Caenorhabditis elegans: one gene and its partners. The protein of the gene in region 1 interacts with the protein of each later gene in a pairwise test. Each region holds a gene or a part of one and is shown on either strand. Other genes may lie near its edges.

What was found.
Region 2: the proteins of ran-1 (region 1) and toe-2 interact in a two-hybrid assay, tested with the Caenorhabditis elegans proteins (2 studies listed by BioGRID).
Region 3: the proteins of ran-1 (region 1) and npp-9 interact in a two-hybrid assay, tested with the Caenorhabditis elegans proteins (3 studies listed by BioGRID).

Annotation. Positions count from the first base shown.
Region 1 is NC_003281.10:10,746,081-10,749,741, forward strand, and holds ran-1 (GTP-binding nuclear protein ran-1), read right to left. Parts: upstream 1,649-3,661; 5' UTR 1,647-1,648; coding exon 1,529-1,646; intron 1,481-1,528; coding exon 1,355-1,480; intron 1,308-1,354; coding exon 1,186-1,307; intron 1,139-1,185; coding exon 950-1,138; intron 903-949; coding exon 810-902; 3' UTR 501-809; downstream 1-500. Other genes in the region: rib-2 (Exostosin-like-3 homolog), read left to right, coding at 55-206, 259-445; dkc-1 (Putative H/ACA ribonucleoprotein complex subunit 4), read left to right, coding at 2,362-2,409, 2,468-2,554, 2,597-3,075, 3,125-3,661. UniProt on the Caenorhabditis elegans protein: Ran GTPase system comprises ran-1, ran-2 and ran-3 and is essential in nucleocytoplasmic transport. Ran-1 is a GTP-binding protein that mediates the interaction between mitotic chromosomes and kinetochore microtubules.
Region 2 is NC_003280.10:6,516,688-6,523,482, forward strand, and holds toe-2 (Target of ERK kinase mpk-1), read right to left. Parts: upstream 4,689-6,795; 5' UTR 4,501-4,688; intron 2,982-4,500; 5' UTR 2,975-2,981; coding exon 2,806-2,974; intron 2,762-2,805; coding exon 2,431-2,761; intron 2,378-2,430; coding exon 2,002-2,377; intron 1,954-2,001; coding exon 1,321-1,953; intron 1,242-1,320; coding exon 1,126-1,241; intron 1,013-1,125; coding exon 883-1,012; intron 835-882; coding exon 724-834; 3' UTR 501-723; downstream 1-500. Other genes in the region: C56E6.7 (uncharacterized protein), read left to right, coding at 1-170.
Region 3 is NC_003281.10:3,400,056-3,406,243, reverse strand, and holds npp-9 (Nuclear Pore complex Protein), read left to right. Parts: upstream 1-1,967; 5' UTR 1,968-1,980; coding exon 1,981-1,998; intron 1,999-2,047; coding exon 2,048-2,140; intron 2,141-2,185; coding exon 2,186-2,611; intron 2,612-2,664; coding exon 2,665-3,162; intron 3,163-3,266; coding exon 3,267-3,727; intron 3,728-3,776; coding exon 3,777-4,674; intron 4,675-4,934; coding exon 4,935-5,078; intron 5,079-5,136; coding exon 5,137-5,253; 3' UTR 5,254-5,600; downstream 5,601-6,188. Other genes in the region: golg-4 (GRIP domain-containing protein), read right to left, coding at 409-510, 555-668; F59A2.5 (L antigen family member 3), read right to left, coding at 835-994, 1,043-1,171, 1,283-1,365; Protein clpf-1, read right to left, coding at 5,666-5,776, 5,838-6,104.

The DNA of each region.
Region 1 (3,661 bases):
AATTCCCGCGTCTGGGTAAAACCCGTATAAAATCTAAAACGTTAAAAATTTCAGAACTATTTGACTGCTTACACCTACGAAATGCCAGCTGAAATTCGTGAACATGTGAATAGCATCAAAAACTGCGAGGACATTGCTATGAATTATTTAGTTTCTCATCTCACACGAAAACCGCCAATCAAAACGACTTCTCGATGGACGCTCAAGTAATTTCCAGATTTTAAATGAGTCTAATCTAATAATAATTTCAATTTTCAGATGTCCAACTTGCACGGAAAGCTTGTATAAAGAAGGGACACATTTCGAGAAACGCCACGAATGTATGCGATTGTTCACGAAAATCTACGGCTACAATCCTCTGAAATTCTCCCAATTCCGTGCTGACTCGATTCTTTTCAAGACGCGTCTCCCACAGAATCATCAAAAGTGCTTTAAATATGTGTAAAAAAATCCCCCTCTGCATTTGCTCACTTTCCCTATTGCCGGTATAATTCACTTGTCGAATGGTGCTACAATTTATTGCAACAAGTTGTTTAAAATTTTTTAGTCGAACATAAAATATAAAATAAATCATGGAGATTGAGAGTGATGAGCCAACCATTTCTTCAATTCATTCGCACAACGATCAAACAGCAAATGTACAATCCTTCTTCTACCCAAGCCAGCACTTTGAATTGTAGACACCGGTTGGGTATGCAAATTATTTTTAAGTTAAGAAATTAATTGGCATATGAAATGTATAAAATGGTAAATTTAGGTGGGATGGTTTTGTGAGATTTGAAAACAAGGATTTTGAAAGGTTAAAGTGTTTAAAGATCATCGTCGTCATCTGGAAGATCAGCCTTGGCGGCGTTGTCCAGATCCTTTTCGTATTCGGCAATCATGGCTGGGTCCATTTGAACCTGGAAATTAAAATATTGCTTATGAAAGAACATGGATTTAAAAATACCTCTGGAGGAGCCAAAGCTGGCATTGCGACAAACTCGAGGTTTGGATCTCCGAGCAGCTTTCTGGCGAGCCAGAGGAATGGCTTTTCGAAGTTATAGTTCGACTTTGCGGAGATGTCGTAGTATTGGAGGTTCTTCTTTCGGTGGAAGGTGATGGTCTTGGCCTTCACTTTACGGTCCTTGACGTCGACCTGAAATTTGTAATTGAATATATTGGCCAGTTTCAGCTAGTGATTACCTTATTTCCGCAGAGAACAATTGGAATGTTTTCACATACTCTGGCCAAATCGCGATGCCAGTTCGGGACATTCTTGTAGGTGACACGAGCGGTAACATCGAACATGATAATGGCGCATTGTCCTGGAAATTGGGCATTTCAGAAGTTATAATTTCGAATTTTAACATACCTTGGATGTAGTATCCGTCACGAAGACCACCAAATTTCTCCTGTCCGGCGGTGTCCCAAACGTTGAAACGAATTTGTCCGCGATTGGTGTGGAAGACAAGTGGGTGAACTTCGACTCCGAGAGTGGCTGAAAACAATTATTGAACTGGGAGAAACAAATTCCTGAATTACTTACCAACATACTTCTTCTCGAACTCTCCAGTCAAGTGACGTTTAACGAAGGTAGTCTTTCCGGTTCCTCCATCTCCGACAAGGACAAGCTTGAAAGTTGGGATGCCGTCTCCACCAGACATGACTGAAATGAGGAGATGAGGAGAATAAAATACGAAGGAAAAAGATTGTCAAGAGGAAAATAGCACGAAACTTTTCGAAAATGCGAATTATTGCGAAATTCTACGTATTACCGAAGCTTCAGTTGAAAATCACGAAGCGGTGGATAAATATTTCAAAAACAAGAATGTTCGGATAATGTGTATTTAGAATTGAGCAAAAAAGTTTTAGAAGAGACGTGAAGCTGAGCAGAGAGATTATCTCGTGATCAGAGCTTGCTCATGGAGCAAAATCAGAGAGAACTCGAAAATTACAGTGAACCAACTGAGGAAACAACGCAAATGCATCAAAATGAATGAAAAAACCGAAAAAAGATGACAAAACTTGGCGCCAGGGACAAGAAAAGTATTCGAAAATGGCGCAACAAGCCAGATTTGCGCGCCAAAATGAACAAAATTCGAAAATGTTTTTGCGTAGAACCCCGTGTGTGTTGAGGCATAGGGGCACACACGCAGCCTGTGTCTCTTTCGTCTGGCACACTGCCAATGGGGGTTTCTTCTCTCGTTTTTCAAAAAATCGATAGTTTTCTGGCAGGTTTTCTGCTTCTTGACACTTTCCACGAGCTTATGAGGCATATTTGGAGTTCATTAGAACCTTATTAATCTTTAAACTCTTGTTAATCGCTTCAGAACTGTTGGATTTTGTCAATAATGTTATTTTTTCAGCGAAGATCTCATCATGGGCAAGAAGGATAAGCGTTCCAAGCTTGAGGGAGACGATCTAGCTGTTAGTTTTTAATTTTCAAGCCATTTATTAAATATTGAGTACATTTTCATTATTTCAGGAGGCTCAACAGAAGGGATCATTCCAACTTCCATCCTCGAACGAAACCGCCAAGCTCGATGCTTCCCAGTGGCCACTTTTGCTCAAGGTAGTTGAGTGATCTCATTTAAAAATTAAATTATTATTTCAGAATTACGACAAATTGAATGTGCGCACCAATCACTACACACCACACGTCGAGGGAGTATCACCATTAAAGCGTGACATCAAGAACTACATTTCGTCTGGATTCTTCAATCTTGACAAACCATCGAACCCATCTTCTCACGAAGTCGTGTCCTGGATCAAGAGAATTCTTCGTTGCGAGAAGACCGGACACAGTGGAACACTCGATCCAAAAGTATCGGGATGTCTGATCGTTTGTATCGACCGTACCACTCGTTTGGCCAAGTCGCAGCAAGGAGCTGGAAAGGAATACATCTGCATCTTCAAGCTCCACGAGGAAGTTGAGGATGATCGCAAGGTGAAGCAAGCCCTCGAGAAGCTCACCGGAGCCCTCTTCCAACGCCCACCACTGATCTCAGCTGTCAAGCGTCAGCTTCGTATTCGTACCGTTTACGAGAACAAGTTCATCGAGTATGATCCAGCTCAACAGATGGGAATTTTCAAGTAAGAATCCTTATAATAAATCTAATTTCTAGTTTTCATTTAATTTCAGCTGCATCTGCGAGTCGGGAACCTACGTTCGTACAATTTGTGTGCATCTCGGTCTCATCCTCGGATGCGGAGGTCAAATGCAAGAGCTTCGCAGAAACAGATCCGGAATCTGCGATGAAAACGAGAATATGGTCACAATGCACGACGTTCTCGATGCTCAGTATCTCCTAGACACCCAGAAAGACGAGAGCTACATGAGACACATCGTTCGTCCACTTGAGGCTCTTCTCACCCAGCACAAGAGAGTTGTTGTCAAGGACAGTTGCATCAACGCGATCTGCTACGGAGCCAAGATCCTTATTCCCGGAATTCTTCGTTACGACGATGACATCGAGGTTGGCAAGGAGATCGTCATCATGTCGACGAAGGGAGAAGCCATCTGCATCGCTATTGCTCAGATGAACACATCAACGATCGCTTCAGTCGATCACGGAGTCGTTGCCAAGTCGAAGCGTGTCATTATGGAGCGTGATGTGTACGGAAGAAAGTGGGGACTTGGACCGGTTGCATCCAAGAAGAAGCAAATGGTCAAGGACGG
Region 2 (6,795 bases), on another chromosome or scaffold:
GAGAGGGCGGATCGGTTGAAGACAGTGGCAAACCGCTTCGTGCTGTTGCGTGTCCTATTAAAGTGCGGCTGAATAATAGGTGTCCGTCGTCGTCGACTTCGGCGCCATTCGTCCGTCTGTCAGTCCGTCAAACTTCTCCGGCCGCAGCTTCTTCATTTTCGAGAAACTGACGAATGCAACTCGATTATCCGATTTACTACTGCGCAATAGTTTTCTGGCCAGAAAAAAAACAGTTTGAAGGACGGAAGAATAAGATGAAGCCGCTATTGTGATGAGAAAAGTAGAAAAAGTGACGTAAATTCACGATGGCAACTCGTATACGGAAGACTATACGGTAGGTGTCTTCAAGAAGTCAAGCGAAAAGTTAATTGTTGCTAAATTGGAACTTTTTTGCAATGTTCTAGACTATCAAAAAACAATTGTACGGTAAGTGTTTGTAAATCGGATGCTAATGCCAATTATGGCATTGTTTCCGTTTCGACCTGAATGTAGAAAAAACTGTAAATCAAAAGATTTCATTAAAGGAAAAACAGAAAAAAATCAACTTTCTACTGAAAGTAAAGACCCGATTGAGATATTGGGTGGTGGTAAAAGCGAGATGGTACAGTAGATGCATTCGGCATATGACATTTTTGTATGCATAAAATCAATCGAATCTAGATCATTCCGAAGCTAAAACAATTAAATTACAGACATTTAGGGATTATAAAATTTCGAGTTGCTTTATATCATTCCTGGGAAAAAGTCGTTGTACAATTTCGGGTAGAATTTCTTGAAGTTCATCAATTGTTTCTTCTTTTCTGTCAGCGACAATTCCTTGTTGTCGATAACTGACTGAAAGCAATAAAATTATTACAGGAACCAAACTATTCATAAACTCACATTGATCATGGTTACCAGTGCTGAGTCAGTCTCATTCAGTCCATCTTTACTTTTCGAAGTTTTTGAACGAATTGATTCTCTTCGAACTGTATATCTCACTGGTGTCAGGTCACCTTCAAGCGAATTGTGTCTGAAAAATTATGTTTAATTGCTAAAAAATACAATTTCAAACAGGAAAAAAAGGCATGCAAAACAGAGAGAAGCATTCCGAACAAAACAATATTAATTTGTGAATTACTATACTTTCTCTCTTTTCGTTGCCATTTAATTTGTCCATTTACTGACTTTGCTCGAAGAGAGCTTTCCAATTGTGCCGGGCGTTGACCTAGTTTTCCTTTTTGTCGCAGTTCAACGAGGGTCTGAAAAGATTAAAAATTCCAGATAATTAAAAATAGCCAAAATCTCTGTTTTTCAGGTTTTAAAATTTCTGTAACAAACCTCGATGAAAATGTCTTGTTGAACATTTGTCATACATCCTCTCGGGAAAATAAAAGAAGACAGCTCTCCAATTATGACATTCACATTCTCTTTGTATCTCCGTGGATCCTTTTTCCCCAAATAATATGGACTTCTAAGATCTTCCACTGCATCCGTTCGCATAGTAAGTTGTAGCCACTGCACAAGTTGGTCGATCGTCTTGCGTATAGGATGAGGAACCATCAAGAAGATGTACATGACTGCCGTCGACAATTTTTCACCAGAATCCATATCGTTAATCAACTGCTGGGCAATCTTTGTAAGAAGAGGAGCGAATTCTGATGGGAACAACGGTGATGATCCGTTCTGTGTCATCTTCTCAAGACGGTTTTTCACTGCATCCAATGCTGCTCGACACCAAAGGTATAATTGTTCGTTATGGCTTGTTTTATGATTACTTGCGACAGGTTTCGCCTCAAAATAAAGTAATGGAGCACAGCAACGAGCCATCTGAAACCATTGACTTGCATCCCGGATCAATGGATGTGTTTCGATTAACAAATCCATATGGTCTTCCTGGTGCGGGTCAAGCCTTTCTTCACTTGCACCCAGTCCAACTTTTCCCAGAATGGATGATAAAAATGATGCATTGTTCTGAAATGAAATTATGTAAGTTTATGATCAAATATTTGTATTTAATACCTTTGAATCTTGTACCGGAAGAGCAACATCTTCGAGAAACTCAACGTCAATCAAGCTGAGTAAATGGAAGAGAGACAATTCATAGACTTCCGCTTCTTCCTCTTTTATCAACTGTTGTTCTGCTTTTTTGAGTTTTTTCTCATTCTTTTCTGAAGAAGACGAGAACAGACTCCACGTCGATTTCAAATTTGTCGAGCTTCCATCTTTTAAATTATCTTTGTCTTTGTCCCGACCTCGAGAATTGGATCTATTCCGGCGAACGAATGGAGAAAATAATCTCTTGATACTGTTACTGCGACGGCTGCTTTCTGATCGCGAAACTGATGCAGAATCGTCATGATTTCTTGAAGCGATCGGAGTATTCACAATATATAATCTAAAAATAAAAACAAGTAATTTAATATCATTCGAGATAAAAAGTTTGCTCACGATTCAGAATCTCCTCCAAGCCTGTAAAATGTACGTTCAGAATCAACAAATTTCTTCTGATGAGATTCTACACTTTGAATAGTATTCGACTCTAACCAAATTTCAAGCAGTTTTACAGCGTTGCTTCTTCCGATATTGTCGCGTGGAAACTCGTTGCGATGTGTTTCGATATATGCTGTAAGAATATCTGCAGCTTCGGCTCCTGTGAAGTGTTCTTCAGATTTTCTGAGCACGGATATGCTTCTTTTGAAATATGATTGCATTTGTTCCATCGTGTCTTTTGCTTTGAACTGGGATCGTGCTTGAGGCTGACTATTGTTTTCCTTATCATCTGAAGAAAAAATATTGAAATTTTTTATACTGACTGAAACAAACCGTCACGAGCTGGTTCGATTTTCAACGCGCTTCGCTGTGGCTTCATTGGAGCTTCTTTTCGTAATATCCCTCTCGGAGGTTTAGGCGGCGGCGACGGTGTGTTTTCCAAAATTACTGAATGAACAACATCTTCGTCATATGGGATACTGAAGTGACGAGACGAACTCATTTTTGACCTGAGGACATGATGGACGTTTTTGTGGTTAAAAGCTGGTAAGACACATGCAAAGCACACGGGAAAATTGGACAAAGGTGCATTTTATTCGAAAAAGTAGTGAGAACAAATTTTAAAAGTAGAAAATTGCATTTTTTTTAAACTTCTTTCATGCAAAACTTAACATTTATTTGTGAGAAACCTTGAAATTCGTAACAAAAAAGAGCGCTATATTTAAATTCTTATTGATGCCGCGAAATAATTAGTCCGAAAGGGCGCGTTTGCTGCGCACTACTGTAGGCCGAAAATTATCCATAAAATACATAGCATAACATTGTTTTTAAACTAAGTTTGAAACAATTATAAAACTGAAAAATGGCTGAAATGGTATTGGAAATTGCAATAAAGACATTTATAAACGTTCTAAAGTTGTTTTCCGTCAAGTGTCCCACGGTGTTATAAAGGAAACAATCATAAAACGTTGCAATATTGATTCGTCATGGGACTATTCTGCTCAATAAATTGTTGTTCGTTCTTACATTTTCCCCGACACTCTGCAAGAATATTGTTTTGTCTAGAAGATTCTCACGCTCAAAAGTTTCAATGTCCATGTTCTGGTTATCAGCAAAAAGGAAAAGCGCGTTTCCATTTCGTTGAAACCGTCCATCGATCACTGATAAGACTTCATCAGCATAGTTTCCACTGTTCGACCCTCCTACACTTCTCACCTCATTTATTTTAATGTGTATTACGATTTTACATGTGTTTTTTAAAGTTTCTATGGCCACTGAAACCCTATTTTATGACTAGCCTTTTTTATCTAGAACTATTGACAGTAGTGGTTTTTGTCTGAAATAGTTTGCAGGAAGAGAGTAATTAAATATTTGAACCGTAAATGTAAGCTAATTTTCGTTGAACCAACTCCATTGAATTCTTTTAAATTCCCTGACGAATAATGTAACACAGACGCGAAATTTTGCGTCAAAAATACGGTTCCTGGTCTCGACACGACGAAGTTTTATTGAATGCAAGAAGATGTGCTCCTTTAAAGTACTTCAAACTTTCGTTGCTGCGGAATTTTCATCAATTTTAAGTTTTTTGCACGGTTTGTTAAAATGTATGTTTTTGATTGTTTTATTTTAGTTTTAAATAAATACATTTTTACCAAAAAATTCCAGACAAACGAGAGTTTGAAATTACAGTAATCTTTAAATACGCACACCTATTTTCACTTAACAAAAAGTGCCCTGTCAAGACCCGGTACCGTATTCTAATTATTTCACGATTATAACAGATCAGGCGTAGGTCATTCTTCCAGACGGGTTATAGATTTTTTGTCTTGTAAGCAGGCAAATATTTATATGCATATGTGGGATTACTCAGAACTAAATTTGAAGTTCCAATTTCAAAAGTAGTTACGGATTTTCTGTTTTAACAAAGTAATTTTATAGAGTTTTAAATGAATTTCTGCTAAACATTAAATAAAATTATTTTTCGATTGCATTCGAAACAATTGTATTCTTGGAATGATTTAGATATACCTTGATTGACAGCTGCTAACAGAATACAGTCGATATATGACGTGTCCAAGTTTACTTTGATTTTCCCAAACTGGTCGAGATGTCGATGAAATTTGCATTTTTTCGCTTTTCTAAATAAACAGACAGCCTTGACGTTGGCCGGCTACCGTAACACAATAATCTCACAAACTGACGACACTGGGGTTTTTTTGCTGACACACTCAATTTTTTTCAGTTTTCTTCCCAAAAGTCAACATATATATTCCTTTTTCCAACAGATAAACAAAACATAAAATGGCAATAGTTGAAAGAAATTCGAAAGATAGAGAAATTGCGGCAAGCGGCGTTGAAAAGATTACGGTGGCCAGGGAGACTGGCACGGACACAGCACAAAGGAGCACTTATTCATTTGAATAGTTTAGTTTGATAGACTATTGATTTTATATTTATCAAGGCGGAACTAACTGAAAATGGGTGTTTACCGCGTGTTTTTGTTTTCAGTTATTCAGCTGTAGTACGTTGATAGTTTTTGAATATCAAAATAGTTTATCTAAATAGTATCACAACTAAATACCAACTATAATTTAGTCAAGGAATTTGTGGTACAGATAATTTTTTTGAGAATTATAACGAACTATTTTATAAGCATTGTCTCATAATACAGAACCATATTGTAATAACTTAAAACTCTATGATAAAAATCACAGTCAGAAAAATTAATTGGTAAACGTAGAATTTTAATCAAGGTTACAACTATTGGGCCAAAACAGTATCACTATGAGACTTCAAAACAAGACGTAGTAGGTCATTCTAAAACTAAATTCGGACTAGGTCATCATAAAAAAATTTATCTCAACTCTGAACCCTTGACTTTCAATCTGAAAGTATTATTTCACTAGATTGGAGGCCGAAGGAATATTTCCAAAAGTGGATTTTCGTAAAAAAAAACATTTTTTAATGGTTTCAAAGTTGTCAAGAGGAAGGAAGCTTCTGGAAGCTTTTTGAAAATTATTTGTATTTGAAACATATCTGAATTTTTTTTCATCTAATTTTTTATATAGAAAATTTAGGGTTTTATAGTTGAGTTTCGCTGCTTGCTAGTTGGGAAAATATTAAAATTTTTATGGTGCTAATGACCGAATATCATTTCTGTTCAAAAAAAATTCATGGATTTTTACGATCTACGATCAAAAAGCGACACAAATCTAAATAGACTATAGACTATATCATAGACTAGATAGTTACACCAAAGAAATAGGAAAAATTGTAAGTTAACTGTTTTGCTAACAGTAAAATAACAAGTTGGCTTTGTACATAGATACAACAGAGTGGACTTAGGTATCTGAAAAATGGCGTTTTCAAAAATGTTTCAAGGTCGTGAACATGAGTGAATTAATATAAACTTCTCAAATTTTTCTAAGCTGTTCCAATATTCATAACCCGGTATATCCATATTGATCAGGATTGCCACGTCATAGAGCCCTCAAACATCGACTGACAGGATTTTCCGATGGCCCTTTCGGTCTGCACGCACCGCCTGTGTTTTGTCAACGAAATATCGGTCCCGTCGACGACGACAACTGGGTCTCATTCTCACTCTCTGCATAATGAATGATGGCCTCTCTCCTGCATCTTCTCTCACTCTCTGTTCAGGCGGGGAAACCCCGTGTACGAGGACACCCGCTCTCTTGTCCACTCGATTTACAATTACTCATTGGTTCGATGACCGTTCCCCGCTCGTTGTGCACTTTTGATCTTTGGTCGCTTACGTTTAATCCTTGAGAATTGATACTATTTTGTTTTTATTTGATATCAAAACATTTTCCGTTCAATTTATTACCACCTATTCAAGACACACACTCCTCATTCTCATATCACTGAATCTACTTGATCCTTTCCGTTTTCAACGTTCTATTCTCAAGGTTGTTTGGTCATCTAGCGTGGTCAGTGTTGTAAAGCGCAAAGTGTTATCTTTTCTGTAAATATCATTCCCAGCTGGCATTAAACCTTGGTTCATCGGAACAAGTTTATGAAAGTTTAGGAGAAGTGCAATACGGTAGGATTAATCCCGTTTTGAAGGCTTTTCAAAATTTCCAAGTTTTGCCAAGTATACTCATAATCAAAAAGTAACTATGCAAATGTATCGGTGTTTTTTTAAATCAAGTTTCGTTACTTTTTTTTGCAATTTCTTAGACGCTTTTCATACATCCATTACTAAACAATCTTTATGAAGCAGTATGTCATATCTAACAATGAAGTTAACGCAAAAATCCTCTTTTGTTCGAACTTTCAGATAATTACGGTCAACTCTCCAAT
Region 3 (6,188 bases), 7.3 Mb from region 1:
TCCCAATGAAAAAAAAAATATTTTTTGGTATTTTTTGAGTTTTCTTGTAAAAAACATGGAAAACATACAAAAATGTGATTTAGATGCGGAAAAAATATATTTTTTTTGCAATTAAATTGATGCAAAACTTCGAAAAAATGGCGAAAAATTTTAATAAAACCTTAAAATTCGTACATTTTAACGGTCTCACAGCTGCTGGAAATAGATTTTTATTTAAAAATCTCTTTGTTTCGCATATTTCTGCTGTTTTTGGTACATTTTTTGGATTCCGAACTAAATCTCACAAGAAATTGTTTTTCAACAGTAAAAATCCATTTTTCCGGAAATTTTCACGAAAATGGTTGGAAAATAATAGTTTTTCGACGATAAATTCAATTTTTCGAGAATTTTTCATGTTAAAACTCTCACAATAGAGGTATTTGCTGGATTTTCAGCTTTAGTTTCTCCTGATTCTCCGGTGAATCTTTTAGAAATCGACGCGGATGCATCACTGCCAGCAGGCTGCTCATTCTGCAATTTTATCGATTTTTTCTCAGTTTTCAGTGGATTTTTACCATCGCCTGCCGATATTGTCCAACTTGAGCGGCGAGTTGTTCTCCATACTGCTGAGCTGATTGTTTAAGCTTTCCGGCTTCATTATCCAGCCGGTTTTTCAGGTTTTTGAACATTTAAACCTGAAAAAATCGATTTTTTAGTGGGGAATTTGCAATAAAATCGAAAAAAAAAGTATTTTAAAGGTTAAAAACCATATTTTTAAGAAGAAAAAATCATGAAAAGTTGAAAAAAATTCATTTCAAAAAACAAAAACAGAAAAAATAACAAATTTTAATCAAATTAAGCCTGAGATCCGTTTGAGAGTTTTCTTTTCAATCCGTTTTCCTTCGATTTTCCCAGATTTTCACAAAGTTTGATAGTTTTCACGGACAAATCGATCATATCAACAGCGTTGGCAATGGATTTTGACAATGATTTCGGATCTTTTGATTCGATTTTTCTGAAAATTAACTTATTTATTTAGTTATTCGAATAGAAAAACTATTACATGACTACAAATTCGCCTTCGCTGCACACTTCCCGTCGAGCACCACTTCTTCTCGGCTCTTTATCGATTTTTATGACATCTGCCACGGTTCGAGCCGCTTCTTCTGTTCCGACGGATAATCGTACGCTTCTGGAATTAATCGGATTAGAAACTGCTGTTAGAACTTCAGAAAATGTTAATTTTGAAACAAAAACATTTAAAAAACAGTTTGTTTTTTGTGTTTTTTAGCGAAAAACTCACGCTGAGTGGATATATGCCGTGCTCGGAGAGCTTGGGTCACATTCGTCCTCTGAAGATGACGATGAGCTTGTGTCTACTTCCATTTTGTTGTTGTAATCACTAAAAAACACAATTTTGAAAGTTTCTGATGAAAAATCAATAAATTCGCTGAGAAAAGTGAATAATAAATGCTATTCCAGGCAAAATTGACATTTCAAAAACCGAAAAAGCCATAAAAAACGACGGAAAATATCAAAAATCCTGTTTTTCGCCTGAAAAACCGGTATTTTCCATGAATAATTGCCAACTCATGGTTAAAGGCGCGCGTGTCGATTTACGCAACGGGTCTCGCCACGGCGCAGGAATTTGAACTTTTTTCGAAATTTGCGAAGCTTGGCGCCCAATTTCTATTTATTTTAGACTGTTTCGCCATAGTTTTTCCGTATTTTTACGAAAAATAGCTGGAAAACATTTTTTGTGCGTTTAAAAGCATATTTTATACAGAAAAGACTAGTTTTAAAGGTAGGAAAGCCCTATTTTAAGCAGGGAAAGCGTTGGCGCGAAATTTCGAAATTCAAATCCCTGGCGCGAATTCTTTGAAGTATTGCTGCTAATTTTCAACTAAAGAGACCGCAGTATTCGTCTTTTTATCTCGCTTTAGCTTGAAGTCTCTTGAATTGTTTACCTGATATTTTTCATATTTCAGCTCTCCTTTCGCAATGAGCGATCAGAAGCCGGTAAGTGAATCTTTTCGAATGTTGCTCAACATGATTCACGGTATTTCAGAATATGGGGCGCATTGTCGCCAGCGTCGTGGATGTGCAGCAGTTGATGACAATGCAGTTTGACTCGCTTATCAAAAGCATGGACTCGTTGAAGGTATGCGATTCATGAAAAACTCAATTTAATACTTATTTTTCACAGATTGAGCACCAGACCGGCGTCACCCAGCTTCGCGATGATATTCGTCGATCCGAGGATCGGTTTCAGAAGCAGTTGTCCGATTTGAGCACTAATCACGGAAAAGAGCTCGAGAGACTTCATCAAATTATACACACTCTTCTTGCTCGTGATGCGAATCCTCTCGGCTCAATGATTCCTCCACAGCAGCTTCAGCAACAACAGCAAATGTTGATTCTTCAGCGACAAATGGAGATGGCTCATGTGCAGGCAGCACAAGCTCAAGCTCATGCTCACGCTCAAGCTCAAGCCCAAGCACAGGCCCAAAGCCAAGTTATGGCTAATTTGCTCAATGCTGCGAAGCCAGCTATTCCCGTTACACAGCCACTGGTCGCCACTACAGCACAAGCAAAATCGACAGTTCCAGCTTCTGGAGTTATTGCACCAAAGGTAACAAATTTTCGGGTTTTAGTTCCAGCAATTAAAAATTCAATATTTTTCAGACATCTCCACCAGAAGTTGTAATTCCACCTGCTAAGCCAACATTCTCTACTCCAACGCCTGCAGTTGTTCCAAAGCCAGCCACCACCGGATTCTCATTCGGCGGGACCAATCCAGCTACTTCAATCTTCGGTAAAAAGCCTGAAACTGCTTCCCCAGTCGTGGTTCCAGCAGCTAAAGATGATGAAGACGAAGAACATGATGAGGATTACGAGCCAGAGGGCGAGTTCAAGCCAGTCATTCCACTGCCAGATCTTGTCGAGGTGAAAACTGGAGAAGAAGGAGAGCAAACCATGTTCTGCAATCGTTCAAAACTCTACATTTATGCCAACGAGACGAAGGAATGGAAGGAGCGAGGAACCGGCGAGCTGAAGGTTCTCTACAACAAGGACAAGAAGTCGTGGAGAGTTGTTATGCGACGAGACCAGGTGACCATTTCGGAGGAGACACTCCCTTCAAATATTGAGAATGGAACCGAAGAATTGTGTTGGAATATTCAGGTTATTCCAATTACAGCTTTTTTCACATTTTTCGGCGTTTTCCTCAACAGAAAGATCTTAATTTAAATTTAAATACCTTAATTTAGCATTAAAATAAATTACAGGTTCTCAAAGTCTGTGCCAATTTCCCAATTCTCGGCTCGATGACCATTCAACAAATGAAATCCAACGAGAAGGCCTACACATGGTTCTGCGAGGACTTTTCCGAAGATCAGCCAGCTCACGTGAAGCTTTCCGCTCGTTTCGCTAACGTCGATATCGCTGGAGAGTTTAAGACTTTGTTCGAGAAGGCTGTCGCTGAGGCAAAATCATCGAGCAACGCTGGAAAGACCATCGACAAGGAAATCAAGCCGGCGGCTGAGGTGAAGAAGGAAGTCAAGCAAGAAGTTGTGATTCCATCAAACAACAAACCGGAAGAGACTGGATTTGGAGATCAGTTCAAGCCAAAACCAGGATCTTGGGAATGCCCTGGATGCTATGTTACTTGCAAAGCTGACGAGATTGAATGTGCCTGTTGTGGGACATCGAAAGACGGATCTGTCAAAGAGAAAAATATATTCTCTAAGTAAATATTCTATTTGAGTTATCTTAAAATTAAAAATTTAAATTTGCAGACCTTCGATCCTCCAGCCTGCCCCAGGAACTCCAAAAGTGACATTCGGATTCGGAGCATCTGCTCCAGCCAAGGAACCTCTTGCTCAAACATCTCAGTTCGGTGGATCACTCAGCGGATCTCCAAGCACTAGCAGTAGCATTTTCGGTGGTGGAACACCAAAGGGAACAAGCGTTTTCGGTGGAGGTGCTGCTAATACTCCAACTTTCTCATTCAACAAGCCAGCTGCCGCTGTCAATGCAACTACCCCATCGTTCAATTTCAACAATCCTGCAGCTTCAACTGCTTCTCCGGCAACCTCTACGACTCCAGGAAATTCATTGTTCGGAGGTGGACTCTCCAAGACTGAATCTACAGCTTCTTCAACTACTACTCCGTCGTTTATGTTCGCCAAGAATTCTGAAAGTGCCTTCCCAAAGCCAACTTTCTCATTCGGAAAGCAACAGACTCCATCAACGACTGCACCAGCTAAACAAGAAGAAAATAAACAGTCCGAGACGCCAAAATCCGTGTTCGGTAGTGGATTCACGTCTGGAGGTGCAACATTCGCTGCCCTTTCAGCCAACTCTGCCAAATCTGGCTCCATTTTCGACGCAGCAAATGTCAAGAAGGCCCAAGAAGAACTTGCTGCTCAGAAGAAGGCAAGCATTTTCGGGAGCAAGAACACCACGTTGAACACGACTTCTGCAACTTCACACGATGGTGATGAGACGAATGAGGATGGAGATGGGGAGTATGAGCCAGAAGTCGAGTTTAAGCCAGTTATTCCTCTTCCGGATTTGGTTGAGGTGAAAACTGGTGAAGAGGACGAGGAGGTCATGTTCTCCGCCAGATGCAAGCTTTATAAGTACTATTCGGATCTCAAGGAGAATAAGGAACGTGGACTCGGAGATATTAAGGTCAGATTTAGGATTTTATATCAAAATGAGCCAGCTTGGCATGTTCTTTTGATAGTTTTCATTAAAATTTAGTGATAAAACGTAGAAAATAACTTATTTCAGTTGAAACAGTTAAGAAAAGTGCTAGTTTTGCGCACTTTTCAACTGTTTTGCAAGTATTTTCTATGTTTTTTCACTAAATTTTAATGAAAACTATTAAGAAAACAACTGATTTTTGACTCATAGAGGCTAAATTTGAGAAAAATAATTTATTATTTCAGCTCCTGAAAAGCAATGACAACAAATATCGAATCGTGATGCGTCGTGAGCAAGTCCATAAGCTCTGTGCCAATTTCCGTATCGAAAAGTCGATGAAGCTCAGTCCGAAGCCAAACTTGCCAAATGTGCTCACATTTATGTGCCAGGTAGCAATTTTTAATTTCTTTTTATATAAAAATGTACTATAAATTCCTTATTTTTCAGGACTTCTCAGAAGACGCCTCCAACGCTGATCCAGCCATCTTCACCGCCAAATTCAAGGACGAGGCGACCGCCGGAGCATTCAAGACGGCTGTTCAGGATGCTCAATCGAAGATGTAATCCTCTGCTGATTATTTAAATTATTTTATTATTGTTATTCCTCCCCACCCAGCACTCTGTGTTAGTATTCCCCACCACCAATTTTATTTATGAACCTAGTTTTATTCATCCCCATCTGCTGTCATCTATAGTCCTTTAAGTGTAGTTTATATTTGTCTGGTAAGGTTTTTAAAAAAATAATTTCCTTATTTCCCCCCCATCTCTCTCAAAATCCCATTGTTCTCATAAGTACCCCCCACACACTATCATTCATAATTTTTGTCTTTAAAACTTAACTATATTGTTCACATTGTCCCGGCATCGATTTTTCCCCACTGGTGACAATCCAATAAATTGTGAATGCATTGAAGAATGAGATTTATTTTGAGGGCGGGAAACAAATAAATAGGGATTAGGAAAAAAAAGAAATAAATTATCGTTTTATTTGATCATCAAGATGGGTGATATCTGAGAAGACGAGAACTTTCGATGGAATTGTACGCTGTGGGCAGAGAATTGACATTGTTCGCTTCTCCAAATCAACCTGAAATTTGGATAAAATTGAAATTTCCGTTCGAGACCCAAAAACTCGACGAAATACCAACCTCCGTGACAAGACAAAATCCAAAAACCGGCGATTTCAGCACATTTTCGTCGGCTTTCGTGCTCCGCGAGAACGCGAACAAATGATGTTTAATGTCGGCACTGGGCTCCATGATAACCAGCTTTGTCTCATGATTTTCAACTTCCATTCCGAATGGTAGACATGAATCGGGCAGTTGCTCGGCTCCGATTTTACAAAGAGTGACGTCATCGAAGCTGACGTCAAATGTGAATGGGTAGAGATTGTTGGCACGGGTTCCGTAGAAATACTGCAAAAAAAAAGTTTTTTCTTAACAAGTTAGGCTTTAAAACACTGAAAAACCAAAAAAAAGAAAAAACCCGCAAGTGCGGTA